Linked DNA regions of Oryctolagus cuniculus. The protein of the gene in region 2 interacts with the protein of the main gene of each other region in a pairwise test. Links are inferred from orthologs where the notes say so. Each region holds a gene or a part of one and is shown on either strand. Other genes may lie near its edges.

Region 1 (4,630 bases), on a different chromosome or scaffold from region 2:
GACCTCACACCCGCTGCCAAGGTTCCGTGGGACACAGACAGGTGCCAATCAACAGCGGCCGCCCGGGCGAGCCTCACTCACCAGGTTCTCCATCCACGGGGAAGGCAACGGAAAAGAGCAGGCCAAAAGACACAGGGCTGGGGCAGCCGGGCAGCTGCAGCTCGGTGCGGCCAGGCAAGGCCCGGCTGTCCACCTGGAGGGGTCAGAGAGGCCGGGTGATGCAGCAGCCTCTCTGCAAAGCTCACAGCCACATCTGCACTGGTCACATCCGGATCGCTCAGGAGCCACCTCCACCGCCGCCCCTCCCCCACCCCACCGGAAGAGCAAGTGTTCCGTAGGCACTCAGACACAGTCAGGAACGGACACATGCGAGCCATCATCTCTAACTTACGGACCGAGGAAGCTGAGGCTCAAACAGACTGAACAGCCGGCCCAAAGCCACTCGGCCGTGGGTGGCAGCACTCAGGTTCAAATCCAAGCAGTCCGCCCCTGGAATCTTAACCGCTCCATGACCCGGCCTGAGAGTTCTTACCACCTGCTCCTCTCCCCGTCTCACCTCAATATCAGAGATGGCTGATCGTAAGGCGCACGACCAGTTGACGAGCTGACGGCCTCGGTACAGCAACCCTGCCTCGTAGAGCCGCACGAAAGCTTCGGTCACAGCCACCGAGAAGCCCTGGAATGACCTGAGTGTCCACCTCAAAAGCCCTCCTCAGCCCATCGCCCATCCCGGGACCCAGGCGTCCCCAGCTCCCACATCTGAAGACCTCCAAACACCCACAACCCCCAGGGACACGTGTGGGACACTCACGGCATCCATGGTAAAGCACTCTCGGTCCCAGTCCAGGGAGGCGCCCAGAGCACGCAGCTGCTCACAGATCTCGCCACCTTTCCTGTGCCCAGAAGACAGCCCTGTCAGCATTTCCCAGGCCCCGGGCCCGGCCATGCCCCCAGCAGTGCCAGGCGCTGTCAAAAATAAAGCTAATGGAGACAGACCCAGGAGGGGGCTTTCTGTGACACCGAGAGAGGCATAAGCACCCACAGGATCCACCGCGCGGCGGCAGCCAACGTGCAAGTCCAAGAAAGCAGCGTGGAGAAGGCGCCAGGCGAGCACGGCGTGGGGGCACGGAGGTGATCACACGGGGACTGGCAGGTGGGAATGCGCAAGCAGGGGAGGTGAGGACACTGAAGTCCAGGCGAGGGAAAGGGATGAGCAGAGGAAAAGGCGTCCACGTGTACGCACACATACAGGAGCAGACATTCTGACACGCAGCGTGCACACACACTCGTACGAGGCCTGCAGACACCACCACGTGCTAAGGGGCTCCAGCGCCTGTCCCCAGGGAGGGTGGGGCCGCCCTGGGACGAGCTGAGAACTCTAAGGTAAGAGAGTAAGCGACGGGAAGCAGGGCCGCAGCCTGGCATCCCAGCCCCTGCAGCCCTGCCTGGCACTCACGCCGCCTTCCACTGCCACACGGCCTTGAGGAAGTCCTCCCGGCCCAGCTCGTGTCTCCTCACTCCCCGCTCCGTCCACAGCCGCTTCTCCACCACAGCCTGCAGGATCAGGAGCAGGTACAGAATGAGGCTCCTCTGTGGGGAAGAGACCGTCTTCACCCGAGAAGGGAGCGGGGACAGGGCCTACTTGTGTAGCAATTCCTGCGTGATCGGAGCCAGGGACCCAGAGCACCCGATCCCCTCGCATGCGGTGCCTGCAACAGAAGCATCCTGGCCTGAGCCCTGGGCACCCATCCGCCCACGGTCCACAGCCCCTCCGGGAACGCCCCTCTCACCAGCGCACGAGGGCATCCTCTATGGCCACCGTGAGTGCGTGGCCGATGTGCAGGGACCCAGTGACATTGGGGGGCGGGATACACATGGAAAACGTCTCCCCTGTGGTCTGGGGCATCTGGGCCTAGGAGGAGGCAGAGGCAAAGGCAAGAGAGGGTGGCCGTTCGCTGGGGGAACAGCACCCTCTGGCGTCTTCAAGGCAGACAGCATCTTAGGGAACTGCCCTGCAGCTAACAGGAAAGACGGGGAAGGGAGGAGGAACCTGCCAAGGGAAATCTGCAGGACACCACAGGCTTGAAGCAGACAAGCTGGACGGGGCGAGCGGGACTCAGAGGCTCCTGTCCTGCTCAGGGACCACTGAGCACCACTCCCTCCCAGGTATTCACCTGATATTCTGGTTTGAAGAAGCCCTCTCGCTCCCACCACGAGTACCAGGCAGCCTCGACGTAGCAAGGGCTGTAGGCAGCAGGCAGGGGCCCCGACACATCTGTGGAAGCAGAGGAGAGCTCCACTACCTCCTGAACTTCCTTCCCGGCTGCACCTTGGCGACAGCGGGAGAGCCGAATCTGCACGCCACCGTTACCTTTCTTCTCCCCGGGCTCCGTAGGGACTTCATACAGCACCACCTCCTTAGGGCTCCAGGCCTTCCTGGGTTCTGCAGGTGACTGAAAGGAGGCAGCAGGAGGGGCTTGGAATCCCGGCCCAGCCTCCTCTAGCCCCCTCCCACCCGTCTCAGGGGCCTGGGGTCAAGGTGCTCCACCCCTAACCTGGCCCTTCCCGGCTGTCCCGGCCTCCAGCGCCGCCTGCCTCTCCCGCAGGCGCTTCTGTTTGGCCTCTCGGTTCCTCCGGGAGACGGGAGGTCCATGATGGGGCTCTGACTGTGTAGAAAGGGGATGGAGGCTGCGGAGGCCCCGTGGGGGCCTCAGACCCCAGAGCGAGGGTCTCAGAGAGGCCAGAGGCAAATGAGGCATCGGGAGTTGTCTGGAGAGGGGTCAAGATCTGTTCCGGAGAGACGGCGCACGTGAAGAGGGTGCGGGAGTCGGGGAGCGGCACAGCCCCCGGGCCACGCCCCCAGCCCTCACTGCAAGCCTCGCGCTCGCACCAGTTTTCCTAAGTATTTTCCAACACCACGCCTCCCGCCGGTGGACGAGAGCGCGTGGTATAGACAGGGCCAGCGGCCTGGCCCCCGGAGACCCGGGCTCGTGTCGGGCAAGGTCTGAGTCTCTCTCCCCGCGCCCACGCCTCTCTGCGACATGGCGGAGGGGCAAGACTCGGGGATTCGGGGAGACGATGGCCAGCAGCGCCTACAAGCCGCCCTAGGGGGCCCACCGCGGTCTCCGCCCGCAGCGTCCCCGGCCCGCGCGGCCCGGCCACCCCTCCCCGTGAGCCCCGGCCCCGCAGCCCCTCCCACCTCCCCCGGGCCGCCCCGGCGCGCGCTCACCGGCGACCCCGCCGCTATCCCAGGGCGCCCCGCGGCGGCGGCAGGGACGCGGGGCACCAGCGAAGCTGGCCCTGGAAGCAGGCCGGCGATCACGCTGCGCGCAGAGACCGCCCGCCCCTCACGCACTGCGCGTGCACGGCCACTCCCTCGGCCCCGCCCCCCACCGCCGCCGCGTCCAATGGCTGCCGGCGCGAGAGGAGCGAGTTCGCCGCCGGGAACAGGCGAAGGCTTGCAGAGAGGCGCGCGGGACCAAGGGGCTCACTTTCACGATTTTATTGAACAAGAAAAGTCCCGATGCATAAATAAAAAAAAACACCTGAGTTGTGGGGCCGCCCCGCCCGCCGCCCGCCCGCGTCCGGTCAGGAGCTGTGCTTCTGCCGCTTCCAGAAGCGCTTGACGTCGCTGTGCCCAGCCGGGGTCACCACCATGAGCCGCTTGGCCGAGTTCTCGAAAACCAGCACGCCCAGCTCCCGCGCGTGGGCCAGCAGCAGCTCGAAGTCCACTTGCGACAGGAACTGGTTGTACAGGACGCCTGGGGTGCGCAGGAGCGGAGGGCGAGCACGTGAGGCGGGGGTCCCCCCCGTGGCAGCCTGACACTAGTGTGTGCCCAGCTCCCACAAAATCCAGACTGCCCTGACTGGGGACGTCTACTGACTAGTGCCCGCTTGCCCCAAAATCAAGTGGCCTGCCAGCTTTCCGTGCAGGAAACACAAGGTGACATGCGTGGAGAACTCTTCAGCCCGTCAAGGCTGAACTGCCTGCCGTCCCTCATGCCGGTGCCCAGCGCCACTCACCCTCCGTGAACCGCAGCCTGTCCCTTTCCAGCTCCCACAGGCGAATCTGGTCCGTGATGGTGGGGGGCAGCACGGGGGTCTGCGGGGACAACAGTTGGCTGAGGGGTTTCAGGGACACTGGCCCTGCACTTGGTCCCCAGGTTGGGGGGACTTCTCCCGCCATCTCACTGCCAAGTGCCCAGGGTGCCTGTGTTTACCTGTTTGAGCATCACTGGGTGGGCCCTTGTCCTTAGGAAGTGGATTATCTGAGAACAGACAAGAATGGCGAGAGGGCTTGAACCTACTGTCGCCAGAGCACAGCCGCTCTCTCTAGAAAGCCCCAGGGCCACCTCCCTGTTGTCGGCTCCGCCCACCCCTGTTCACCTGTTGTTACCCTTACTGCACCGCCCACAGCCTCTCTATTGGTCAAGTCTGCAGTCTGCCCTTTCCATTAACTTGTTTTTTTCTTTAAAATAGCCACAGCTACTACTTTTTGATCAACTTACTGCTAGGCAGGCTCTGAGCTTAATGCTTTAGCTCTGCTCTCCTGCTGAGTGCTCCCAGCAGCCCAGGGAGGTGAGAGCTGTCACTCACCAGAAGAGGAATCAGGGAGGAGAGAGCAAGCCCA
Region 2 (4,185 bases):
TGGGAAGGGGGGAGGGGAGGCCTGGGCCAGGAGGAGGAGGAGGAGGAGGAGGAGAGGGAAGGTGGCCAGCCTGCGGACCTGCGGGCCTGCGGGCCAGGCACGGGGAACTGGGGCGCACAGGCAGAGAGGGGACTTTGTTTCAGTTCCCTCTGCCTCCTCCAGGCCCTGTGGGAGCATCTGCTTGCCCACGGGCACAAGCGATCACTCCAGCTGGGACGAGGCGGGGGAGGGGGAAGGCCCTGCCAAGGGCAAGGCCACCGCCCACTGCCGCTGGGAAGCAGCTGGTGGTGCCCCAAGTCCAGAGCGTGGGGGGCATTTCCCGGCAGCAGGAACCACTCCTCGTGATCCACTCTGGACGACTCAGCGGACTCCGGTGCCAGGGAGGGGTGGGGTGAGAGAGCCGCCCAGGCTGGGCCTGCTCAGGCTCATGGAGGGGTGGGGCCGAGCCCCCTTGGGTGTGTGCGTGCAAACACACACCCTCCACACTTTTTCCTGCACCTCCAAGCTGCTTGGTGGTCTCTGGCTGCAGCACCCCTGATTGGCCCCGGGCAGAGGCCAGGGGGGCTCCAGGGGCCCAGAGGAGGTTGCTAGAGGGTCTTGGGGTAGAGCGGCTGAGGGCCGGGGCACAGAAGCTGCCCCTTCTCCCCTGTGCTTGCTGGATTGAGCCAGCCTCTGCCAGCTTCAGGGCTGGCCCCAACCAGACCTGGATCCTGGATGGGCGTGTGACGTCCGAGGAGGCTCCCTGGGAGATGCTGTGGGGCAGGGGGATGACTCTGTGGGGGAGGGGAGGCTGCCAGGGGACCGCGTGGGCAGCGCTGGGGCGGGCACAGGGGCTGTCAGCTGAATCGGGTGTGCCTGTGTGGTGGGCAGTCACATGAGCGGTGCAGCCGGGGCCTGGGGGCTGAGAGGAGGCTGATTCCTCTCCTGAGCCGACTTCCTGCTCCAGCCTGGGAGGCCGGCGGGGGTAGCGCCCAGGCTGGGGGCAGCCCCCGGCTTCTGGGGGCCTCTGAGCCAGCTGTGGGGTCTGCAGCCCTTCTGTGCCCATCCCTGACTGGGGCGGGGGGAGACGAAGGACCCGGCTGTGCTGGAGGAGGGGCTGCTCTCCAGCTGGAACCAATTAGGACTCCTACCAAAAGTAACACACAGACACACCCCATTCCTGCTGCCCTGACTCCTCGAAGGGGAAATCGAGGCAGGGCAAGAGGCTTGCCCCGAGCCAGCGGCCCTGGCTGGGACCCCTCCCCAAAGGGCCACGCCTGGAGGCCAAGCTGCAGGCTCAGCCCCGAGGTCCCCAACGTCAGCTGCCCCGCGCCTTCCTGCCCCAGCCCCAGCCCCAGCCAGCGGCCAGCTCGGGGAGGGCTGACCCCCGCAGGAGCCTCCCCACACGGCCCCCACTTTCAGGGGCTACCGCAACTGTCCCTCCCCAGCTCTGCGCTCCGTGACGCACCCCGCAGGAGCGCGCAGGGCAGGGGCTGTGGGGGTCCCAGTTTTCTCTGCTGGAGGACAGCAGGAAGAGCTTCTCACCGGGGCATCTCTGAGCGGCCCCACCCCCACCCCCGCCCTAGGGCTGTTCTGATGGGAGGGGGAGCGGGGGGTGGGGGCTCGGCCCTGTGCGCTGTCCCAGGTATTCTCCAGCCACAAGTCCACGTGGGCGAGGCGGGTTTTCTCCAAGTTCGCCTTTTCTGGATTGGGAAGCCGGGACCTCACACCTCTGCGTAGTGCGGAGTTCAGGACCAAACCCCGGAGGAGGGGCTCCGTGCCTTCGTCGCCACGGGCCGTGGGTCCCGCCCCCGCCGCCGCCTCGCCTCCTCCCACGCCCCCTCTGCTTCCCCCCACACCTACCTTGCCTGGCGAGCAGGTGGCGGGGGCCGAGGCCGCCCTGGAGGAGGGCAGGGGCATCCCCGCCCGGCTCCTGCCTGGCGCGGCCTTGGCGGGCCCCGGCGGCGCGCGTGACCGGGTCAGGAGAGGGCTCGGCCAGACTGGGCGCCCGAGGAGGAAGAGGGAGGCAGGACCAGGACCGTGAGAGTGGCGCGACGCGGCGCGGCGCGGCGCGGGTGGAGTTTGCGTGTGCGACAGCTACTCCCCTCACTCCCGCGGGGCTGCGAGCGCGCTCGGTCCTGGCGAGCCGCGCCGCGGGACGCCGGTGGCCCCCTGCCCGAGGGGCCGGGCCGGCGGGGAGGCGGCGCCGGGAGGGGCCGCCGAGGGTCCCCGGGGAGCCCGCTCTGGTTTCCCAGCCGCCCTCCCCGGTCCCCACCGCTGGGCTGGCGTCGGGAAGGGGGAGGGCGGGCCGGCGAGGGCCACTCAGAGTTTCCAGCGACATTTCCAGAGTGTGGGAAACGAGGTTCTGCGCCGGCGGAGCCAGGACAGGACGCGAGTGCCGAACGCGAGCGAGCCGTGCGCCCCGGGGCCCTGGGGAGGCGCCTGGAGGACCCGAGGAAGCACCCCGCCGCCCGCCCCCGCGGGACGAGTGGGTGCCGCGTCGCCTGGGTCAGACACACGCGCGCGCGCGTGCACCTGGCGGCCGGCGGACGCTCACACACGTGCAAGCCCCGGGAGGAAATCACCCCGAGGGAGCGCCCCCCCCCCGGGCGTGCCGCGCCCCTGAGAGGATGAGGGTGGGGTCCCTTGGGCGGGGACGGGGTTAGGAGGGTCTCGGTGTTCCCATACACCCTGTTTATTTTGATGTTCCTGGTCTTCCGCTGTTCCTGCTGCCCCGCCCACTGGCTCTACGTTCCCTGGAGCCATGCTCTCTTGAAGTTTCCAGAAAGTGAGGGTGCTTGGGACTGGGCACTGAGAGTGGACACTGACCCCAGAGTACCTCCAGCCCTCGGCTTGCCTCAGGGACCCTGGTGCGCCACAGCAGCCATCAGGCAAAGTTATTGATCAACCTCAACTCCATGTTGGGAGGAGTCAGGAAAAGATGACAACTCCTACTGCACACCTGCTGGGGGAGGGGCTGGCGTGGGAGGTCACCGCGTGCTTCCGTTTCCCCAGCACACCACTCAGTTCACAAGACACGGAGCCGGGTCCATCCCAACCCCCAACACTGCTACTTAGTGCCCTGTTTTCCCCGGTCCAGGTCCAAGAGCTTCTGGGTTGTGCGGAAACAGCTCAGCCATGCAGGCTGAAGAAGATGGGCATGCCAGCTCGCTCCCCAGGGTCGGCCTGCGGCCACATCCTCCTCCCCGCCTCTGACACCAAGGAGGGGCCCCTTTCCCTGGTCAGGAGCTGTTCCCACCTGTTAGGCTCCTTGGGACTAAGGAGGGCCATTTCACTTTCATTTTCTTCCTTGTTCTCCAAAGTTGGTGCGGCTGAAGATCTTCCAATTGCAGGAATCCTGGCCATGCCCTCTGCCCAGCCACGAGCTTCTTACTCTCCAGGGCTCTGACCTGGACTCCAAGATAAATATTTAATGTAGAGGGGGCCGCCAGCTGACAAAGATCCCAACTTCCTGTTTCTCACAAAAGGGGCGAAGAGCTAGGGCCGGCCCGCAGCCTCATCTCCGTGGGAATGGGAGCTCAGTAAGCAGCTTCGGAAGAGCGGAGACCTGGGCCTTTTCCTTCAGCGGTGGACTGGGGCCTGTCCACCTGGGCCTGGCCTGGGCGGCGCCCACCCCCTCTCCCGGCTCAGAGCCCACCCTCCTCTCCATGCGACCCATCTGGCCTCACAGAAGGGAGGCGGGAAAGAGGCTGGTGGGGCCGCGGGGCCAGGGAAAACATTCGCAAAGCTGACCTGCTCCTCCTTCGCTGCCCATATTTAGTGAGAATAATCCCTCCTCTTTGAAACGCAGATTAAGAAGAGGGGTGGGGAAACAGGAGGGTCAGGATTCTGACCCGGAGCCAGGGGTCTGGTTTCGCAGCCCCTCCCCCTGGCCGCACTGCCTCCACAGCTGGCACGGGTTGAGGGCAGGCTGTCCTAGATATCAACAGAGTCCTCTATCCCAACGCGCACTCTCTCCACCCCACACTTGCCTATGTGAGAGGGACCCACCTCTGGGATCTCTGCCTTCCATGGTCATCTCAACCACAGTAGACACAACTACAGAACCACATAACTGCAGTCTTCGGGGCTCCCATCACCAGCGTCACCCCCTGGAGGCTGCCACCTGTGGATACCCCCGCTGGGAAACCCCCCCCCAACTCACAGAGAACTGCCTCTGGGGTGCGGACGGTGGGCTGAGAGGAG
Region 3 (3,116 bases), on a different chromosome or scaffold from region 2:
TTTTCTTAATCTTTAAAATAAAAAAGGATTCCTATCAATACCGCATTTTTCTTTTCCTCAGATTTTTACATGAATATTCTCTACTTCTCTGAAAAAAAAAAAAAATACTAAAGTAATTCCACATCTCCAATGATCCGTGAATCCACCAAGAACCTTCTCATTTAAGTTCTCTTACACAGTAACACACTGGTAATGTGTTAGAATCACTCTAACTTATGACAGCCTTTACAGTTTACTCGTCATCATTTGGAACTCTGTAATACTGACATTTCTCTCTCATGAATACAGTCTCAACTAATTATTCTACAACTCACTAAAGTTCAATCTCTCACTTTGTCTCTGCTAACCCCAAATATTTTTCCCTTTAAGTGGAAAACAAAAGTTAATTTTCAAATTCTGAAAATTCAATGATTATTACAGAGTAGGATGTGGTATGAACAGGATATGTAAGGTGAGAGGGTTACATAAAAACAAAAACAAAAAAACTAAACCTAAAATTGCAACATATACAGAAACTTATTTCCAAAATGAAAGAGGAAAGGAGGAAAGGAAAGGTAATGGCACTAACCAGTCATAAAGCCCAAGCTGGAACAAGAAAAATCACTTTGGTTCCTCCTCAAGCCAAATCTGAAGAGGAGAAAGGCAGAAAGGAAGACAAAACCGTCAGGGTGTACAGTCGCCGGGATTCTTTTTTGTCTCAGTGATTTAGTTATAAATATAGATTAGTCTTCTTTCTATACATGTAACAAACTCCAAACTCACCACCATGAGATTTCTCAAAGTGACCCTTTCACATTTGTTAAAAAGGTAAAAATCACATACTTTTCTTCCCTTCTTTCAGTTCAAGTTCTGAACTGAAATATTCCATGAAACCATTGCTGGTCCTAACTTCTATACAAAGTTAAACTATGCTGAGCTCCTTTGCCAATGAGGAGCTGCACAATTTCTATCATACTTGCCTTGAATTCAGGCACGACAAAAAGTTCTCAAAGCAACTCAAAAGGAGCAAGTCGAGGAAAAGGAGAGCTCTGAAGGAGAGAGAAGACCAGCAGGTGAAACAAATATGCTGAAAAACTCGAATCTGCCCTTCAAGTATTGAAAACACCCCAAAGGGGACAAGAATGGGATCTATTCCAACAAAGTTAGCAAAATAAAATGCAAATCTCAAGCATAAGGAACAGCCCTGACGGCTGTCTGCTGAAAGATGTAAGGCGAGTGACTCAGTCCACAATTCCTTTGGACCCTAAAGAAGGGGTTCATCTGAAAGTCATGATTCTCTTTTTGCAATTTTGTCTTAGTTGTCTTCAAGAAATAGTAGCTTTGTTTTTCCTCCATTATTCAGACCATTTCTTTAAACCCCGAAAAGAGCAGTAACTTTCATATATTAAAAGACTTCTTTTAGGAAATGGACAAAGGAACATGAGGCCACGGCACTGATGTTAGCGGTTACTCTTCATTGCTTCTTTAGCTGCCATGATGAGTGGTGTCAAGCTGGATAATGGTTTGGCCAGTTTCAGGAAGGGATGCTGCCAGAAAAGGGGAGAAACAAACAGGTAAATGCTATCAGCTTAGAAACAAAATGTTTCCTTTCAACTAATCCCCAAAGACTACTTATGAATCATGGTTTATTTGTTAAAGTATCCCCACAAGTCAATATCCATATGAAACCAACATAATCAGTACAACACCTAAAGCTGAAAGCAACCACTTTACTTTTCCTAATATAAATCTATAGTTAAGGCCACAGACATATCCAGGCCAGCAGTGAACAGGCCTGAAAACTGACAGTATGCAAAAACTCATTATGATGTTACAGATTTTTATTCCCAGAAGGAGCCCTAAAATGCAGTTACCACACCAAGGTGATCAATACATAGTGAAATACAATGATTTGCCACCCTATGAAAACCTTCTCTAGATTACTCAAAACACAAAGGCAACTAAATTTTCCAAAAATGACATCATTTCCAAATTACCTGCAGCAGTTCTTTGGCTGAACCTCTCTTCTCCACATCCATTTCCAAACATCGATTTAAGAAATCCCGAAATATGGGGGAAAGCTTCTCTGGATTCTGAAGTTCTGGGGTTCCATTAGTTGCTATCAGGTACAAGGCCTAAAAATGGAAGAACATTTTTACACACTTATGATAGTGCAACAAACTGACAGATCACTTTACAAAGTTTGTGGATCTCTTAATTCTTTAAAAACAAACATCAACATCAAAGTGAGGTTATCATTTTTACTCATTTGGTTCTGAAATTTTTCCTTTTTCATTTTATGTACTTTTTAAAAAGATTTATTTACTTATTTGAAAGTCAGAATTACAGAGACAGGAGACATAGAGAGAGTGAGCAAGAGCTTCCAATTGTTTGTTCACTCCCCAAATGGCTGCAGCGGCAGGAACTGAGCCAGTCTGAAGCCAAGAGCCAGAAGCTTCTTCCAAGTATTCGGGCCATCTTCTGCTGCCTTCCCAGGTGTGTAAGCAGGGAGCAGGATCAGAAGTGGAGCAGCCAGGACTCGAACCAGTACCCATATGGGATGCCAGCACTGCAGGTGGCGGCTCCACCCACTACACCACAGCACTGGCCCCGCAAAATTATTTTAATGGTTAAATCAAACAGTATCTTATGTTCTCTATTATAATCAATAGCCTTTAGAAAATTCTTGTATTCTTTATGTACTTCTTTATTTCCTATAAATTTCTAGAAATGAAATTATTACTTTTTGATTAACTGTTATTTAAGAAGTTTTAGGTTTGTAGAAATTGGAATTGAAGCCTGATTATTTCTACATCCCTATAGATATCCTTTCTCACCAGGCAGTCATTCTTTGAACACCTGGTTTGTGTAGCTACCAAGGCCACTATATATACTATATACAGACACAAGAAGAACTTTAACTTATGTCATAGCACCAGCCCGAAGTTTAACAGAGTCTGGAACTTAATCCAGGTTTCCCAGGTAGGTGGCAGGAACCCAACTACTTGAACCGTCATCTGCTGCCTCCCAGGGTGCATATTAGATGGAAGCTAGATCCACAAGCAAAGCAGGGACTCAGCCCAAGCACTCTGATAAGAGATGTGGGTACCAAGCAGTATCTTCATTGCTGCATCCAA
Region 4 (4,185 bases), on a different chromosome or scaffold from region 2:
AAAAAGAGATAAATTATGAGATTTTTATGTCTTTTGCTTATGATCTCTAAGAAGTATGAACTAGACATAAATGAGCAGAAGTTTTTCTATAAGGCATTTTCATTTTTAAATAATACTAAATATCCTAATAATCCGGTAAGAGACATCTGTAATTCCATCCTATCAGTCATTTAACTTGAACTTTTGAATCCTGAGCTCATAACTATTTTTACAAAGACATCAACTGTATTGAAATTTGTCAGTGTGAATGAGATCCACAAGATTATCACATGTAATGATTTATATTAAAATTGAATTGCTTTGATTAAACATTCCAAGCCACAAATATTAGACAGATACCATCTTTAATTTTCAGTGCCTTTTCTTGGTTATAAGTAGGCCACATTGATCCCTTAGTTGGGATCTACAGTATATATAGTTTGCCATTAGTGCCTGTATAGTGAGATGAATGTCTTCCCTTGTGTCTCAGGAATCCCTGGCAGTGAAGGCCTTCCCTGGAAAAGGGTTTTCTCGACCTGCTAGACCAGCAAATCGCCGCCTCCCATCCAGATGGGCATCCAGATCACCGTCAGCACCCCCAGCCTTACGGAGAACTGCCAACAGTTGCACCATTTCTCTTCAATCTGAAGCAAAGATGGTCTAAGTCTCTGGCCTGGATTGTTAGATTACAAAAGCTCTAGTCCCAGTGGCCAAACAGCATTATGAGTGTTTACAGACAGTCCTGTTTTCTACTGTATCTTTCAAGATCACTGGGAGGAGTAATTTAAATCTTAACCTTCCATCAGTCTTCAGTGTTTTTAATCTGTGGAACAGTTATCTTCCTGTGTTTTGATTTCTTAGACCAGAATTTTTAATGTCACCCTCATCAATTTCCCAATATGATTTCAGTTGAAACAATGTGTACAGATATTGTATATTCTTTCTTGCAAGTGGCAGAAAGCAAGGTTATGTGCATGACCATTTGTTTGTAGGTGCATGTGTTGTCATAGGAAGTATCCTAGTATGTGTTTAGATAACAAAACCGTATGTGCTAGTGTTCACTTTGAAATTATAACATGTATGCCTATATATTCTTTGTGTTTATTTAAAAGTTTTGAAAATATACAGTACTGTTTATATTTTGTAGACCTTTTAATAGGTATCCACTTAAGTTATTTGAGGTATACATATATTAATTAACCACTTCTATGGCTGTCAACTTTATTGAAAAATAATCATTATACACACGTCTAACACTGGTAGTTTTCTAAATACGAGTCATAGTTGCTTAATCCATGTGAGGATGAACTAACAATATTGATCTCCTTTTTTAATCTTTCAAGTAAGTATGTCACAAACCTAACAGATCGACCTTCTGAAATAGCATAAATATTCATAAAAGCTTTTATGTATCATTTGGTAGTCTAGTTTGGCTCTGACAATGTATTGATCCTCAGAGCTGGTTTCATGAGACTGCCTTATAAATGACATGACGAAATAATTTATTTTGTCAATCTCAGTGACAAATATTCCTTAAAGGGGATGCAAACAGAAATTAAACTATGTTGAAGTTCTGCTTTTTGTTAAAATTGTGGTAAGCTTTTAGTTTTGTTGCTTTATCTAGAGTTATACATGACTAGAGGTAAGTTGTTCATTTTTTCCTTTTTCTAAACTTTTCCCTAACATTAAGAGATAAAAGACTAATTCACTGTTTTTACTAACAAGGAAAGCAGGAATAATATTTCACTGAGCGCTGAACTGTAATATACTTCTTATAGTGTGCTACAAAAAAAAAAGCCTTAAACTAAACTTTGGCATCCATTGTAGCATAAGAATCAGAAATGTATATTTTGGCATTTTCTACAATTTAAATACAGTGAACACCTAAGATCCATGTTCTCACTGATATAAATAAGAATGATGAGGTGCTTGGAATTCTACACAGAAGATTTTAGAGGCAACTTTGCTCTTCACTGTCTATATAATACAAAAATAATTATGTTTTATTATTATCAGTAATTCTATGTAATTTTTATTTTACTGCCAGAAAAGGTTAAGAATTTCTTATTCCAAATGTATTCAAAGAGCCTTCTCTTTATTCTGACCATTTAGAGAATCTCACTTCATTCTATACCATGCCCAAAGGTAAAGTAAACAATTATAAAATAGCAAACTGCCTTAAAAGGCTAAAGACTGCAGCATGGTGATGGCCAGATTCATACTTTACCACAAGGTGACCTTCTATTGTGAAGCTAAAATAATCTTCTAGGATAAGATTTTGGATTGGATGGTAAGTAAAGGCTATCAATCCACAAGTAATCTAGAAATCAATTGAAATCACTGTCATTATATGCTTTTAAAGCAGAGGGGTGAAAACACTGGGAAGGTGGTATTCTGGGTAATAAAAAGATGGACCTGTTAGGAAAATGTTGCTGCAGTGGTGCCAAGACACCATCCATCACTGTATTCCAGGCAGTTTTGTATGATCTGTGGCTCCTACCTTTACCTACAAGTCAGAATATTGAGGATTTCTTTTAAAAATGAAATTATTGCTCTTGTTGCATAATTACTAATGCAAAATTTCAAAGGGTAGGAACTAGGACTCTCTTAAAACAAAGCAAAATACTTGATGACCAGGATGATTTGCAAGAAATAACACTGATATCTGAATGAAAAGATAACCTTGGGTAATCTCTTTCCTTCCCTGGGACTTGCCATTCCTACCTGTAAATTAGAAGAGTTATATTGTCAGGCTTCCTAGTTTTAAGCCACTAACCACTTGAATGAGCCAGTGGGACACATTTTAATATCTTATGATGACAAATCAGAATATTAGCCCTAAAACATTTAGTATCTAGTCCAACCCCTTGGTTATACAACTGAAGAAATTAAATCAGCTTACTTGAATGTTCTGCTTTTTATTTAACATGTTTTATAAATTTTTATGGAAAAATCTATCGGGTAAATGGAAGTTATCCTTGGAAAATATTTTTTGATGTATTGTGATTTTTAACTGGTCGTTTTTCTACTTTGGATGGACATTTTCTTCCCAACAACATATCCTTCATTGTGACACCATTTTTGGATTTAAATATTGGAGTAGAAACTCTTATAATGATAGATGTGTTCCTTAGAAGGCATTTGGGGGTTGGGAGTCTTACATTATTTCAACAGGAGATTATTGGCTAATCTCAGAAAGGAATAACAATGAGGCAGAGAAGAGTCCTGTGTGAGTGTATGTATGTGCCTGTCTGTGCCATCCTAACTTAAGCTCTTTCTGTTGCCCTTATGTCCCTAACACAAAAAATATAAATGATGCTTTGTATAGTTCACTTTCTCAAAACTTACCATGAGTTTTATTGACTTTTATTTAGACAATGAGAATGATCATTTTTCATTTTACAGATTTTTCCATAAAACATAATTCACTTCTACACAGATTGATTTTTACAAGGCTCCTTGTCATCCTGAGGAAACACCTCAACCTTCAAGATTATCTGCTTCCTTAAAAAGATCTTTAGAATTATTTTAGGCACATTTGCTGATAATGAAATCTCCTTCACTCATTGGAAGCTATTAAATAAAATAAGTGTGGAAATACCTGCTGTGGCATTTTTATGCATTCAGAAATTCTGTTTTTTCCTCAAAGTTGAGAGTCTTATGTGTAAATTCAAATACGTACACAGTTTAATCTAGCCTTCCCAAAAATGTCTCTAAACAGTAGAATCTGAGCTAAATCTGCCTGACTTTCTGCTCCTGGCCACATCTAACCCCGTATGAATATAGTTTCTCACACACTGACATTCTGTCTCCTATCTGTGTCCAGGTAGCATCTGATAGAGTTGATTAATATGGTTTTTTGAAAAGTGCATTCACTTTTGAAAATTTCCATTTGCATGATTGTTTACAATCATGATTACCCATCTTATCCAGAATATGTGTTCCTTCAAAAAAATGGACTTCATAAAGCAAAAAACAAAAATGTTTTTAAGGAAAGAAAGGAATGTCCCCCAGATAAGAACAAAAGATGACTTCAAAACAATGATTTTTACTGTATACAGGTAAATTTTTCAAATAGGAAATGATTTTTGTTTCAATGCAAATCAAATTCTGAAGACATAAGATCTGACATATATTTCAATACTGTGCAAATCCAATAGTTTATATTGATAAATTCCAGAAAAAAATATGAAGCTAAACAGGACT
Region 5 (4,950 bases), about 2.7 Mb from region 2:
TAGGGTTAGACAGTCCCGGGCCTGGGAAGTTGCCAAGGGGTTTCGTCTTAATTCTTTGGGCAAGAAGGGCAACTGACTGGTGGATCAGAGCTCATCCTGACAACATTAGCTTGACACCACATTCAGAAACACAGGACTTGGAGAGGCTGTAGCAGGGTTCCTGCAGAAGTGATCTGGAACGCCATCCTCGTCCAAGACCCAGCTACCCGGGGCACTGCCCCAACTGCAGACGCCTCGGTCCGGGACCCAGGTTTAAGCAAACTAGCCAGCTGATTTTCCTGTACACAAAAGCTAGCTAAACCTGGCTCAGAAACAAGACCGGTGAGGAGGTCTGTTAGTTATTTCTGGGTAATAAATATGAATTATTTATAATAAATTACTCCAGATTTAGAGGCTTCACCTCATGGATCTGTAGTGAGGATGTAGACCAAGGCCGCAGTCACGTGGAAGGCTCCACCTCCACGACCATTCAAAAGGAGGGCGGGGGAGAGGGTAGGGGTGGGTAGGTTTCAAGACAGAAGCCACAGGGCTGACGCTGCGGCTCAATAAGCTAATCCTCCACCTGCGGCGCCGGCACACCAGGTTCTAGTCCCAGTCGGGGCGCCGGATGCTGTCCCAGTTGCTCCTCTTCCAGGCCAGCTCTCTGCTGTGGCTCGGGAGTGCAGTGGAGGGTGGCCCAGGTGCTTGGGCCCTGCACCCCATGGGAGACCAGGAGGAAGCACCTGGCTTCTGGCTTCGGATCAGCGCAGTGTGCTGGCCGCAGCATGCTGGCTGCAGTGGCCATTGGGGGTGAACCAACGGAAGAGGAAGACCTTTTTCTTTGTCTCTCCCTCTCTCACTGTCCACTCTGCCTGTCAAAAAAAAAAAAAAAAAAAAAAAAAAAAAAAAAAAAAAAGACAGAAGCTATAGGTGGGGCCAGTGTTGTGGCTCAGTGGCAGTCACCGCCTGAGATGCCAGCATCCCGTATCAGAGCTCCGCTTCTGATCCAGCTGCCTGTTAATGCGCCTGGGAAAGCAGCAGAAGATGGCCCTCAAGTACTTGGGTGGCTCCATTTGGGAGACTCAGATGGAGGTATAGGCTCCTGGCTTCAGCCTGACCCAACTCCAGCCACTGGGGAGTAAGTAAACCAGCAAATGGAAGATCTCTCCTTCCCCACCACATTCCCTCTCGCTCCCTCCCCCTATGCCTTTCAAATAAACAAGTATTTAAAAAGCCACAGGTGTTTTTTTAGTATAATCCTGGAAGTAATGCATCCTTACTTTTGCATTTCTGTGGGTCACCAGGAGCAACTCTGGGACCTCATGGGAAGGAAGCTACACAAGACTGTGGGTCGCAGGAGATGGGGATCATTGGGACTTGGAGGCCAGGTGACACAGGAGGCAAAACCCATAGCTTAGGTGTGACGCGGTTAGAAGCTGGAGTTTACAGTGTGTGGTGTGAACGAATGTGAGCCAATGTGTTTGCACAGTCAGCACCTTAAAGCAGAAATTCTATCTGCTAGAATGACCACTGCATCCCCAGGTGTTGTTTCCTGCCAATGCCTGGTTCTCTAACCTGCGGCTCCAAGCTCCCACTAACTGTGAGCACCTTCTGCAGCTGGGCATGGGGTGGGGTAGCAAGGGGACCTTGCTTCCCTGGCCTTCCTGAGCGGGCCAGGCAGGCTGCGTGGAGCACACCCGGGGCTCACGGCCACCTTTGCCCACACCTCTCCGGGGGAGGCCGCCGCTCTCCCCGCACACAACTCTGTAGACCACGGCCACCCCACCCGTGCTAGCTTCCTCCTGGCTTCTTTCCTTTGCTGCCCCTGTCGCCTCCACCATTCCTTTCCCGTCCCGCCGAGCCACACCTGTCCGCACAAGTGCCCGAGAAGAGACAAGGCAGAGCGGCGAGTCGCGGGGCGCGCGGGACCCGGCCGTGGGGGCTGAGCAGGGCCGCCCCCTGCAGGCCCCGCGCCGCGGCGTGCGTGCGCGGGAAGGCCCGCGGCCGAGCCCTCGCGCACCGCCCGGCCCGGCCGTCACTCAGCGGCCTGTGGGCGCGGCGGCGGCGGCGGCGGGGCGGGAGCTGGGCTCCGCCCGGGCCTCGGCGTCTCGCGCGCGCCAGCCCGCGCCTCCACCACAGCTCCCGGGGCCGCCCTGCTGGACGTGGCGTGCGCGCCGGCGAGCCCAGGGCCGCGCACAGGTGGGTGCTGAGGGCGGGGGTGGCCGGCGCGTGGGGCTGGGGTCGTGCGGTGTAGGGTGTCCGGTGTCCGGTGTCTGACGGAGCCGGCGGCCGGGTGCGCGGCGTCCCGGGGCGCCCTGAGAGGGAGGGCCCGAGGGCGCACAGGGGAGTCCGGGGCTTCCGGCGGGGTCACCCTCAGGGGCAGGGCCATGGGGACCCTCTGCGCCCCTAACTTTCCCGGGACGCCCTCACGTGGGGTCGCGGCGCCCAGCACCCCCAGCTGCTGTCCCCGTGCTCCCTCGAGGGGGCGCCTTGCAGGTTTTCTGTGTGGGTCGCCGCTGCCTTCCCGGGGGTCTCAGAGAAGCCGTGGGCGCTGCACCCTCTTTGCCCTTACCCCCTCCCCCAAGTGGCTTTTGGCTGCTTGTTGAATGGGAGTGACTTGGGCACACTTACTTTGCACTTGTGAGGTGAATTTAAAGAGTAAATACGTGGAAAGACATTAGGCGGGCAGCCACCTGGCGCGCAAGTGGGTGTTTCTGGGCAAATTCGTGGATGCGATCATTTCAAATTCCCGAGAATGGTGGCTCTTCACACACTTTACCAAAATGTGCTGGCGGCCCTGGCAATCCCGGTGAGCCTTAAAAACAGCCCTTTTGCAGGTGGTGGTGGTGGGGTGAGATAACTTGAATAAGATCTAAAAAAAACAGGGCGAGCTGTTTGGAAACAGTCATCCGCATTTTTAACGTGAGAGGTAAATCGTGCCCACCTCAATGTCGTGCCCACGCGGATTTCAGCGGTCTTCCAGGTCTTTGGGTTTGTTTAGGTCTGAGTCGTTAAAAGCAGGGTTGTGTTCTACAACAGTGACTGGGGAGAAAAGTGTGAGAGTCGGGTCAGATCCGCCCAGAAGCCCTGAAGAAACTGGTTTCGGGAATCAGCAGCGAGGGGGTGGGCTCCTGGCTGGTCACCCCTGCCTTTCAAGAGGGAAGTTCCGTTTTATTGGGTCCTGAGCAGCCGGAAGTTTCCTGCACTTGGTGTTATCAGACCAGGAGAGCCATTCGGGTGTGGATCAGTGCTGGCAACGTTTGTGCCCGGGGAAAAACCCCTGCTGAGTGGATTTCTCCATTCAGTTTCCTGTACCCTGGTTCTCCCTGGCTTTGTAGCCTTACGCTCGGTCATGCTACATGGTGCAGATTCATGCACACTGCATGGTTGGGGAAACTGAGTCCCAGGAAGCCCCACGTCCTCCAGCTCGGGAGAAGGAGGGTTGGGAGGCCAGGCAGGGGTCCCTGTGGGTTTCTGTGAGCACACCGTGGGCATCCCAAGCCTGGTGGGGTGAAGCTGCTTCACGCTGGTGTGAATGAACAGCTCACCCTCAGCTGGAAGTCGGCGCCTTCCCTGAGGGTGGGCTGGTTGACGGTCCTGCTGGAAACCCACGTGGGTGGCCGGAGGCAAAGCCAGGCCACATAAACATGGAAAGAGCTTGATGCCATCGCAGACGTGCCCTGAGTTCTGCACACGAGAGAGGGGCTGCACCGGCTGCCCTGTGGCTCCCAGCGCGTGTGGAAAACCAGCGGCTGGGGAGCGAGCAGGGCAGACAGTGCAGGCAGGTGGAAATCCTCCAGCACAGACAAGGAGCGCATGGCTGACAGCGCTGTCCATGCTGCCTCTCCTGGGTGCGGGTTTTCTTTCTTTCTTTTAAGATTGTTTATTTATTTGAGAGGCAGAGTTTCAGAGAGACATTAGAGAGAGAGGTCTTCCATCTGCTGGTTCATTCCCCAAATGGCCTCAGTGGCCAGAGTTGTGCCCATCTGAAGCCAGGAGCCAGGAGCTTCTTCCAGGTCTCCCACATGGGTGCAGGGGCCCAAGAACGTGGGCCATCTTCTACTGCTTTCCCAGGCCACCACAGAGAGCTGGATCGGAAGTGGAGCGGCCGGGATGCAAACCGGCTCCCATATGGGATGCCCGCACTGCAGGCGGAGGCTTGACCCCATGGGGTGTTTTCAAACCTGATCCCTTCTCCCCTAAAGCTCATCTGCTGTCCACAGGGGTGGGGCTTCGGCCCCTGAGCGACACCCGTCTTAGGCCCCTTTAGGTCATCGTTTCCCTTGCCGCAGGCCCGGATGGTGTCCTGACGGTTCGCCGAGATGAATTCAGAAACCAGGCCCCTGTGTTGGGCAGTCTAGCGGGGGGCAGACTTTCCTGCCAGATGGCCCGGCTCTGCACCTCCCAGCCGGTGACCTGGGCCCAGCTTCCTCCCTGAGAAGGGGTTGGTGATGGGTTCCCGGCAGATGAAGTGAGTCAGTGCATGCAGGGTGCCCGGTAGCTCTGCCATCAAGAGGACAGGGTGGGGTGTGTCAGGGGGAGGGGGGAGAGAGAATGTGAATCTTACACTTCCAGGCTTTTCGTTCTGAGGGTCTAGCCGTCCTTTTGATAGGGCTGCCCCCATTCAAAATGGTCAGAGCAGGAGCCTCACCCCTTGGGCTGCTGGCGCTCTGCCCTCTGCAGGTCGGTGGCTGGATATCAAGAGGTCTTCCCTCTGGGTTCTGAACCATGCACTGGACCGTGCACTCTCCAGCACTGGAATCCAGTGCCTTGGAGCCAGCCCAATCCTTCCTGGAGGAGGAGTATCCTCTCTCTCTCTCTCTGTCTCTCTCAGATATATTTATTATTTGAAAGACAGAGAAAGAGCTCGTCCATTCGCTGGTTCACTTCCCAGATAGCCACAGCAGCTGGGGCTGTGCCAGGCTGAAGCTGGGAGCCAGGATTTTCCTCCGGGTCTCCCACGTGGGTACA
Region 6 (4,773 bases), on a different chromosome or scaffold from region 2:
TGAGCACAGAGTATTTTACAAAGTCTGCCATGTAAGTGCTCAATAAATTATTTTTAAGATTTATTTATTTGAAAGTCAGAATTACGGGGGGGGGGGTGCGGGGGGGAATCTCCCATCCACTGGTTCATTCCCCAAATGGCAGCCAATGGCTGGAGCTGAGTGGCTCCAAAACCAGGTGCAAGGAGCTTCTTCTGGGTTTTGCACGTGGGTGCAGAGGACCCAAGGAGTTGGGCCACCTCCTACTACTTTCCCAGGCCATAGCAGAGAGCTGGATTGCAAGTGGAGCAGCCAGGACTCAAACCAGCACCTATATGGGATGCTGGCACTGCAGACGGTGGCTTTACCCACTATGCCACAGCATTAGCCTCTCATAAATTATTATTTTTTAAAGGTTTTATTTATTTGAAAGAGTTAAAGAGGTAGGGCGAGAGAGACAGAGGTCTTACATCCTGCTGGTTTACTCCCCAAATGACTACAACAGCCAGAGCTGAGTGGATCCAAAGCCAGGAGCCAGAATTTTCTTCCAGGTCTACCACACAGGTACAGGGGCTCAAGGAATTGGGCCACCTTCTGCTGCTTTCTCACACCATAGCAGAGAGCTGGATTGGAAGAGGAGCAGCCAGGACATGAAACAGTGCCCATCTGGGATGCCTGCACTGCAGGCTAGGGCTTTAACCTGCTGCACTACAGCACAGGCACCCTCAATAAATTATCAATATTATTATTACCAACAAAAATAAATAACTCCTACTCAACATCTCTCTCTACCAAAAACAATTACATTAAAAAAAAAAAAAAAGCAAGCATAAGAAAGGATAAACCAAACCGATGAGGAGTTATTACAAAAACACCTACCAAACTTACATATATATGTTCTTGGGAAGTTTACCTTATAATGGGATCACTAAGCCATTGTTGAAATCAAAGTAGAAATGTCAGAAGATATATAGACTTAATGGACAAATTCTAGAACTGATTCCTATCAGCTAGTTCCTACTTGTACTGATGACTAGGATCCTGGCATTGTTTCAGAAAGAAAGCGAGATCAAAATAACCTATTTCCTTTTATGAAGAAAACAGAAATGAAAATATTATTTCAAAACAAGTTATCACCATCCAAAACAGAGGTGATCATCTCACTCTTTGCAGCATCACTGAACTATTATATGCAGTTCTTAACAATGAATGACCAGAGGACAAATTTACCAGTAAAAATACTCAACCAGAGGTGGGAAAAGGACAATGGTTATTACCTGCTAAAGACAATCAACATTGAAAATGAATACACAGAAAGGGTAATCTAAGAAAGAAGGCTTAAAACCCACAACAGGACTACTTACAAATTCAAACCTCTCTCCAGGCAAGGGACACTCAAAAAGCATATCTTTGCACTAGCAAAGATGCATCAGGTACTGGAGAATTAGCCCAACTTTGAAAGGCAAACTTTGAGGACCACGTGTGAGTTTCAGGAAATATGTCAACTTTAAACATAAACTCTCTATGGCATTCAAGGCTGTTCAAAATAGAAAGTCTTCAGAAAAGACTTAAGTCACTAAAATAATGTCAAACTCTAGAATTTATGATCTACTCATTTTATAGCTGATGAAATAAAGCAGTCAGAAAAAAATACTAAAAGTAAGCTGACTTCATCTTGCATTTTATGGTCTTCCTACTTCCTGCAGACACACTAAAATCACGATTCTTTAGTCTAATATATAAGGTACTTGGGGAAGATGTCTGATAGAGAAGCTAGGCTGCCACTTGGGAAGCCACATCATGTATCCAATGGCCTGGGTCCTAATCCTGACTTTAGTCTCCATTCCAGCTTCCTGTTAATTCATACTCTGGGGGCCGGCACTGTGACGCAGCGGGTTAAAGCCCAGGCCTGAAGTGCCAGCATCCCATATGGGCGCCAGTTCGAGTCCCAACTGTTCCTCTTCCAATCCAGCTCTTTGCTAGGGCCTGGAAAAGCAGTAGAAGATGGCCCAAGTCCTTGGGCCCCCGCACCCACGTGGGAGGCTCAGAGGAAGCTCCTGGCTTCAGATCGGCACAGCTCTGGCCATTGCAGCCATCTGGGGAGTGAACCAGCAGATAGAAGACCTCTCTGTCTCTACCTCTCTCTGTAACTCTTTCAAATAAATAAAATAAATCTTAAAGAAAAAAAAATTCATACTCTGGGAGGCAGCAGGTGATGGTTCAAGAAGATGGGTCCCTGCCATCCATGTTGGAGGTCCAGACTGAGTCCAGGGTTCTTAACTGCCAGCCTAGCCCTGGCTGCTGTAGGCATTTAGGGAGTGAAACAGAAAACAGAAAATCTTTCTTAGCCTGTCCCTGTCTCTCTGGTCTCTATGCCTTTCAAGTGTGAATAAAATTTGTTCCAATTTTAAAGAAATAATTAATATACATACTTTCGGATTCTATGTAGATAACCACTAATTGGCCATGTGTACATGTGTGTATAAAATATATGTGTTTTATAGAATAGCAGTGTCTTTGAAACAATCCAGGTTCCGTTTGGTGTCATCCTTCTTAAATGTTCTCACAAAAAAGATTGTTTCACTTACCACATCTCCTCCCAACTCAAGCACTGGCTAGATCTGAAAAGATATCTGCTAAGGATAGAATGGCAAACATTCATCAATCACTTTTGTATGAATCTCAAGTACTCCACAAAGTGCCTTACATGCAATGACTCATTTAATCCTCACAACCAGCCTATGAAATCAGTTATATTATTATTTTTTTACATAATAAAACTGATATCTCCTGTTAAGGAATTATTAAAACCAGCAGGCAAGATTTGACTTCTGTGCCCAAAGCGTTTTTAATTACTTCACGATAACTGAATAACTTTAGGTAACCCACAAATGTTTATAAGCACAAGTCTGCAACAGATACAATAAACTAGCAACAGCTCTACTAACTCTAGTTCTGGAGAAGCAGGGCTTCACATACGCAACAAGAAACGGTTTGTATAGTGTCGAGGTTGATTTGTTCTGAGAGGAGGAGTGTGGTAGGGCCAAGAGGTGTGGAGTCACCCACACATACCCCAGGAGTTGGATGAAAGCAGGCCAGAGGCCAGCAGCCCACAGACTCATTTATTACAGTTGGTACAGCAGCTTAAATAGCCAAAGCAGCCAATTCGGTCAAGGGGCGGTTTATGCCCTAACCAATCACAGCGTGTTGCCAGGCAGTATCCGAAGCCATCCAATCACAGCCTGTTGCCAGGCAGGCTCCGTTGCCATGTGATTTCCAAGGCCATCCAATCACAGCCTGTTGCCAGGCAGGTTCTGTTGCCAGGTGGGTTTCAAAGCTATTCCTAAGTAACTGACCCTCACTTGCCAGCAGCCATCTTGGCATGGCCTTCTCATTCCACCACAGTGTAGGGCTCAGGGTCAGGCAGCAAAAGGTAGAGAATTAATGGTACTGGTTGTCAAATCACTGTGCCCTGGTCACTGAAATTCAAGCAGCACACACAGGAAACTTCCAATAGCTGCAAGAATGTGAAGGGTTTTTAATCTCTAAAAACACTATTCTCACAAGCCACAAGACGGGTACATTCCCCCACAAAGTACTGCTTGCTCATTTCATTTGCTCTCTTTCTAACAAACTGTATGCCTCTGTCCACAAAACAGTGCTGATATATTTTTTAATTATCCTGTTTATTAATGTCATGCTCCATGTTCTTTCTTTTAAAAGCAGATACATGGGAAGCTCAATAGTTCTCCAAAACAAAACATTCCCTTATTTTTTTTTAACATTTTTAATTTGTGTTACAAATGACCCCACACTCAGGAACATTAAATCACTACTTCTCAGCTTAATAAAATGACCTGAGCTTTTCAGATACATGAAGAATAGTCCTGATCCTGGATACATATTAGAGCTATTTTGGGAGCTATACAACATGAAGAAGGTCTTCAAATAGTTCATCAAAAATGCATATTATGAAAAAAACTATGCATAGACTAAAAAATTTTTTATACCACCATAGACGATCTTTCAGTTCTTTCTATTTTTCTGTGAACTTTTTAAGGTGCCCTCCTAGGCCAATATCTGAACCAACTTCCTGAAATTCAGTTAAATGATCTGGGCTGGGTTCCCAAACTGTGTTTAGGAGTTTTTGTTTCTTTCTGTTTTGCTTCTAAGTTCTCCAGTGATCCTAAGATCCTGCTGATTCCAATGTTTAATAAAGTAGCATGGTCCAGTCTTCCTTTGTTTTTGTTCGTTTTGTTGTTATGTCCTCAGGAAATTTTATGTACACTGTGATTAAACCACAAATTTTCCTTCCAGTTTTATGACTCCTAGTGTTGCTGAAAAGTGAGGACCCTAAAAAATATAGACCCAAAAGTGAACATTTTACTTCTAAAAGCATAAATAGCGCCCCCAATAAGAGGAACTCAAGCCCTCCTTGGAAGAATCTTTATTGTAGAGAAAAGAGAAAGGTAACTTACAAATATTAGAAATCTTAGAAATATTCAAGTTTTCTACAGTACAGCAAGACATACTTTATGGCTTTATTCCACATATAAGACTTAAGAACTAGTACTGACTATGTTTCTTAATCCTACAAATGAGTGGGGAAATGAGGATTCCACTACAGATTATGCCTCAAGAGACGGAAGCAAATGGGTCAGTAGAAACCTAAATTACTCAACTCTTCTACACTTTGTGAAACTTTGCCAGATTGTGTGTCACAATGTTTACCCTACATGATTTGCTCTCCACAGTAAAGACTATTCTCCCCATCAGGTCATTCATCCAGATTTCCGA
Region 7 (4,185 bases), on a different chromosome or scaffold from region 2:
CCCCATGTGGGATTTGGAGAGGAGTTAGGTGGACTTCAGTAGATATTGCTGCATGCAGATACTTTGTAAGTCATTATTATAAACAGAGAGTTGCTTGTGGTGTGTCACTCATTGTAAGTAGAAGTACAATATAAAGGAACTCTTTTTAAAACAGGTTTTAATGTGGAAACCGTTGAATATAAAAATCTGAAATTCACTATTTGGGATGTAGGTGGAAAACACAAGTTAAGACCATTGTGGAAACATTATTACCTTAATACCCAAGGTAAGAGTCAAAAATAACATCTTGACTTTACAAATTTTTAGGGTAACAGTCTTTAGTATACTGATTCAAGTGAAATTAGCTAAAATTTGATTGTAATTCCATTGAATTCTACTTTAAATTTCTTTCCTTTTATTTTATTTTTTTTAAAGATTTATTTGAGAGGCAGAGTTACAGACAGAGAGAGGGAGACACAGAGAGAGAGAGAGAAAGAGGGGTCTTCCATCCACTGGTTCACACCCCAAATGGCCACAATGGCCAGAGCTGTGCCGATCTGAAGGCAGGAAACAGGAGCTCCCTCCAGTCTCCCACAGTGGCCCAAGTGCTTGGGCCATCCTCTGCTGCTTTCTCAGGCTCCAACAGAGAGCTGGATTGGAAGTGGAGCAGCCAGGACTTCAACCGGCTTCCTTATGGGATGCTGGCACTTTAGGCAGACGCCTAACCTACTATGCCATGGCACCAGCCCCTCTAGTCTAAATTTCTAAAAATTGATTAAATATTTTTTATACAATTAAATATCAGTGACCAGGTCCTTATTTTAAGAAAATGATTATGGTAAGATGGGGATGTATACTTTTTTGGTTTATTCATGATAAACCATCATTAGAGAATAGAGGCCATACTTAGCTATATAGATGGTTAAGACTACTTGCCTTTTGTGCTATTATCAATTAATGTATATTTCAATATTCTTCATACAGATATAATCTCTGGGCAATGGTGGTAGTAATTTGAATTTGTGGTGTATGGTTTTGCTGCTCAGGTTGGTTCAACCTGCTGAGAAATCTACAGTGATTTGCTTTTGACCAAACTATATGAGTGTTATATCACATATCCTCCACTTTTGTTCATATTTGGGCCCTACTCTACACTTTAGCCTCTTGTATTAGTCTGTTTTCTGTTATTATACCAAAATACTTGTGGCTGGGTAATATATAAAGAAAAAAAGGTGTATTTAGCTCACAGTTTGCAGGCAAAAAGTCTATGTAGCACAATGTTGGCTCTGGGAAGAACCCCTCAGGTGCATCACATTATTGTAGAAGTGTTGGGAGTGTGTGTGAGACAGGAAGCCAGTAAGCAAGTGTGGTCTCATAACTGTGCTATTTCCTCCCAGTGGCATGCATTCAGTTTTCTTACAACATCCCCCTAATGCCCTACTTTTTAAACATCCTACCAGTATGTTAACATCAGGACACTGGGAACCGAGCTTCCAACACAGGAACCTTTGAGGGGAACCACCTAAACAAGGTCCTAAGCATAGCACCTCTTATACCCAACTCTGAGGCTTATGTTCATGCTACCTATTCCCTGTGTCATCCTACCTTCCACATAGATGGTAGACTGGGTAACTTTTTACATTGAGATTTTTGATATTAAGTTTACTATGAATCATAGTTAATAGAAAATGAAATCTTGAATATGAGGAATGCTTGAAAGTCTGGGGATATTTAGCTGAGAGAAAGAAAGAGAACTTTGAAGAAAGATTCTGATTTTTTATTTTTAAGATTATCTTTTGGTAAATGAAATAGTCTTCAGAAAACAAGTGCCATCAGTAGGTAGAAAATCTTAAGAGGCATAATTTTCACTAGTTAAGAGAAAAACATTAATATACATAGCAACTTATGTTTGATAGAGGAAGTGTTGTAAATCCATCATAGATAGGGAAAACCAAACCTGACAATTTATGTGAACTACTGTAATTTAAGGCAGTCAGTATGCGAAAATAGTGATGGCAGACAGACCCTAACTATAATATAATAATTAGAGCATTAAATAAACATTTTTTCATTCGTTGAAACTTGACAGATGACTAACTGAATATTTTTGTGGCTTTTGTTTTTTGGAAGCTGTTGTATTTGTTGTTGATAGCAGTCATAGAGACAGAATTAGTGAAGCACACAGTGAACTTGCAAAGTTGTTAACGGAAAAAGAACTCCGAGATGCTTTGCTACTGATTTTTGCTAATAAACAGGTAATGCAATTTTATTTCTGAATATTTATCATTCTAGTATTTAGTATTCCTTAGTAGTCATGCATTCCATATCATAAGGCAAGTAGAAAGATTTCAAAAGAGAATCAATTCAATAGAGTTACATCATTTCTACCGTGTATTTCAAGTACATTCCCTGTGGAAAGTGCTATGCTGGATAGTTTGGAATACAAAAAATCAAAATAGTTGATACCAGACATTCCTATGTATGTATGTTAACACATATGTGAGATTCTAATACAAAGAAAACTGGTAAATAACTTCAATAATACTTTAAAAGTATTATGGAGAATTGGGAAAGAGATTCTAAAGATGGTATCTTGAAAGATTTTTAAAAAGTAGAATTTGGGTTGAAATTATGATGAGTTGATATTATGGATAAGAATTTAAGTATTTGAAGGAAAGAACGTTACAGGCAGAGAAAATAGTAATCTGAGTGATTTTTAGGAGCAGCAAGCAGACCTGTATGAGAGATGCAAGAAGAAGATCAAGAAGAAAATCTAGAATAACAGAGGCGATCACATCGTGAAGGCCTACCTGGCTGGACTGAGATTTAGCAAAGGAGAATCATCAAAATGTTTCTGACTAGTGGGTTGTAGATATAACCAGATTTTAAGATTGTGGTTCGGGAGTTAGAATGTAGAATGAAATCAGGGCAAGCGAGTAAGGACAGGGAGATGCAGTAAACTGCTGATATAATTCAACTGAGAGTTAACAAGGGTATGAAGTAGGGGAACAGAAAAGTAGAAGCCAATGGAAGACATATTTTTTTGGCAAAATTTGTAGAATTTGTTGGTTGAATGGGGAAGATGACAGACTGAGAGTAGCTGAAGATTCCTCGATCCTGAACCTAAGCTTTCAGAATGCTTTTAAGCAATGAAGAGAAGAGAGGTGGAGTAGAGTCGATGTCATAGGGGGGGAACACTATGATGAATAAGGAATTTTCCTCCCTCCATAATAAAAACAGCTAAGCTATTAAGAATTGAGATATTTACTTATGACTAAAGACATTTGAGTAAGACATACTCATACTCATACCATTCTCCACCTCTCAGATGTTAATGATGAAAATGTTCTTGTGTTTATTTGCATGAGCTGCAAATTTTCTGGAAAAATACATAGTTACTGGTGATGCTGCCCAGAAGTCAGTGTAGGAGATGTTTGGAGTGAGAATGCTGTAACTCTTCATTATATACTCTCTCTTTATAGCATATTTTGTGGTATACTTGTGTTACTTAGGTCATATCTTTCATTTAGGTTTCATGGCTTTTATTGTTTCATGGTAAGGCTGCTGTTACAAAATACTCATTGTAAACAAAGCTCTCATTTTTTCTGTTCATATTAATCTTAGAGTAATTATTGAAAGATGGGTCTAGGTTTTAACTTTGGTTTGGGCTTCTGTTAGTATGCTTCAGCAAATTTTTATGTAAATAGTATTAAGTAGAAAAATGGTAATTTGGATAAACTGATAAAAAATTATGTGTGGATATCTTTCAGGATGTTGCTGGAGCACTGTCAGTAGAAGAAATCACTGAACTGCTCAGTCTCCATAAACTGTGCTGTGGCCGTAGCTGGTATATTCAGGGCTGTGATGCTCGAAGTGGTATGGGGCTGTACGAAGGGTTAGACTGGCTCTCACGGCAACTTGTGGCCGCCGGAGTACTGGATGTTGCTTGATTTAAAATGTAGCAGTTCTCTAAAGTTTTATGTTTTAAGAGTTATTTTTCACATAATATAAGAAATCCTACACCTCAAAGATGATTAGGAAAAGGAATCTTAAACTGGGAATTAAGTACACTATTGCTTAAAAAAAAAGTTATTTTGTAGCAAATCTAAATATCTGAGCAGTTTGTGTTAAATAGAGATTTCTTGAGTACACATTTAAAAAGTACAAGTTATTTAAATTTTTCAGAGTGGTGACTCACATATTGGG

What was found.
Region 1: the proteins of SORBS3 (region 2) and VARS2 interact in binary tests that used the Homo sapiens proteins (3 or more experiments, as listed by UniProt). The two-hybrid records come from large-scale screens. The link is inferred for Oryctolagus cuniculus from reciprocal best matches to the Homo sapiens genes SORBS3 and VARS2.
Region 3: the proteins of SORBS3 (region 2) and PAK2 interact in binary tests that used the Homo sapiens proteins (3 or more experiments, as listed by UniProt). The two-hybrid records come from large-scale screens. The link is inferred for Oryctolagus cuniculus from reciprocal best matches to the Homo sapiens genes SORBS3 and PAK2.
Region 4: the proteins of SORBS3 (region 2) and KIAA0408 interact in binary tests that used the Homo sapiens proteins (3 or more experiments, as listed by UniProt). The two-hybrid records come from large-scale screens. The link is inferred for Oryctolagus cuniculus from reciprocal best matches to the Homo sapiens genes SORBS3 and KIAA0408.
Region 5: the proteins of SORBS3 (region 2) and SH2D4A interact in binary tests that used the Homo sapiens proteins (3 or more experiments, as listed by UniProt). The two-hybrid records come from large-scale screens. The link is inferred for Oryctolagus cuniculus from reciprocal best matches to the Homo sapiens genes SORBS3 and SH2D4A.
Region 6: the proteins of SORBS3 (region 2) and EIF3H interact in binary tests that used the Homo sapiens proteins (3 or more experiments, as listed by UniProt). The two-hybrid records come from large-scale screens. The link is inferred for Oryctolagus cuniculus from reciprocal best matches to the Homo sapiens genes SORBS3 and EIF3H.
Region 7: the proteins of SORBS3 (region 2) and TRIM23 interact in binary tests that used the Homo sapiens proteins (3 or more experiments, as listed by UniProt). The two-hybrid records come from large-scale screens. The link is inferred for Oryctolagus cuniculus from reciprocal best matches to the Homo sapiens genes SORBS3 and TRIM23.

The regions. Positions count from the first base shown.
Region 1 is NC_091436.1:139,550,778-139,555,407, forward strand, and holds the start of VARS2 (valine--tRNA ligase, mitochondrial), read right to left. Parts: upstream 3,356-4,630; 5' UTR 3,230-3,355; intron 2,788-3,229; 5' UTR 2,760-2,787; coding exon 2,556-2,759; intron 2,454-2,555; coding exon 2,372-2,453; intron 2,276-2,371; coding exon 2,175-2,275; intron 1,913-2,174; coding exon 1,791-1,912; intron 1,710-1,790; coding exon 1,643-1,709; intron 1,558-1,642; exon of another isoform or gene 1,555-1,557; coding exon 1,457-1,554; intron 967-1,456; exon of another isoform or gene 947-966; coding exon of another isoform or gene 894-946; coding exon 812-893; intron 677-811; coding exon 557-676; intron 194-556; coding exon 82-193; intron 1-81. Other genes in the region: GTF2H4 (general transcription factor IIH subunit 4), read right to left, coding at 3,589-3,761, 4,024-4,102, 4,221-4,268. UniProt on the Homo sapiens protein: Catalyzes the attachment of valine to tRNA(Val) in a two-step reaction: valine is first activated by ATP to form Val-AMP and then transferred to the acceptor end of tRNA(Val).
Region 2 is NC_091439.1:764,964-769,148, forward strand, and holds part of SORBS3 (vinexin), read right to left. Parts: intron 3,684-4,185; exon of another isoform or gene 3,548-3,683; intron 3,390-3,547; 5' UTR 3,346-3,389; coding exon 3,239-3,345; intron 2,942-3,238; exon of another isoform or gene 2,809-2,941; intron 2,468-2,808; exon of another isoform or gene 1,843-2,467; intron 1-1,842. UniProt on the Homo sapiens protein: Vinexin alpha isoform promotes up-regulation of actin stress fiber formation. Vinexin beta isoform plays a role in cell spreading and enhances the activation of JNK/SAPK in response to EGF stimulation by using its third SH3 domain.
Region 3 is NC_091435.1:83,348,677-83,351,792, reverse strand, and holds part of PAK2 (serine/threonine-protein kinase PAK 2), read right to left. Parts: intron 2,115-3,116; coding exon 1,977-2,114; intron 1,527-1,976; coding exon 1,440-1,526; 3' UTR 1-1,439. UniProt on the Homo sapiens protein: Serine/threonine protein kinase that plays a role in a variety of different signaling pathways including cytoskeleton regulation, cell motility, cell cycle progression, apoptosis or proliferation.
Region 4 is NC_091436.1:42,226,318-42,230,502, forward strand, and holds the end of KIAA0408 (uncharacterized protein KIAA0408 homolog), read left to right. Parts: intron 1-469; coding exon 470-643; 3' UTR 644-3,579; downstream 3,580-4,185.
Region 5 is NC_091439.1:3,497,683-3,502,632, reverse strand, and holds the start of SH2D4A (SH2 domain-containing protein 4A), read left to right. Parts: upstream 1-2,021; 5' UTR 2,022-2,178; intron 2,179-4,950. UniProt on the Homo sapiens protein: Inhibits estrogen-induced cell proliferation by competing with PLCG for binding to ESR1, blocking the effect of estrogen on PLCG and repressing estrogen-induced proliferation. May play a role in T-cell development and function.
Region 6 is NC_091437.1:142,350,764-142,355,536, forward strand, and holds the start of EIF3H (eukaryotic translation initiation factor 3 subunit H), read right to left. Parts: upstream 3,114-4,773; 5' UTR 3,099-3,113; coding exon 2,925-3,098; intron 1-2,924.
Region 7 is NC_091445.1:86,547,682-86,551,866, reverse strand, and holds part of TRIM23 (E3 ubiquitin-protein ligase TRIM23), read left to right. Parts: intron 1-154; coding exon 155-265; intron 266-2,109; coding exon 2,110-2,234; intron 2,235-3,749; coding exon 3,750-3,929; 3' UTR 3,930-4,185.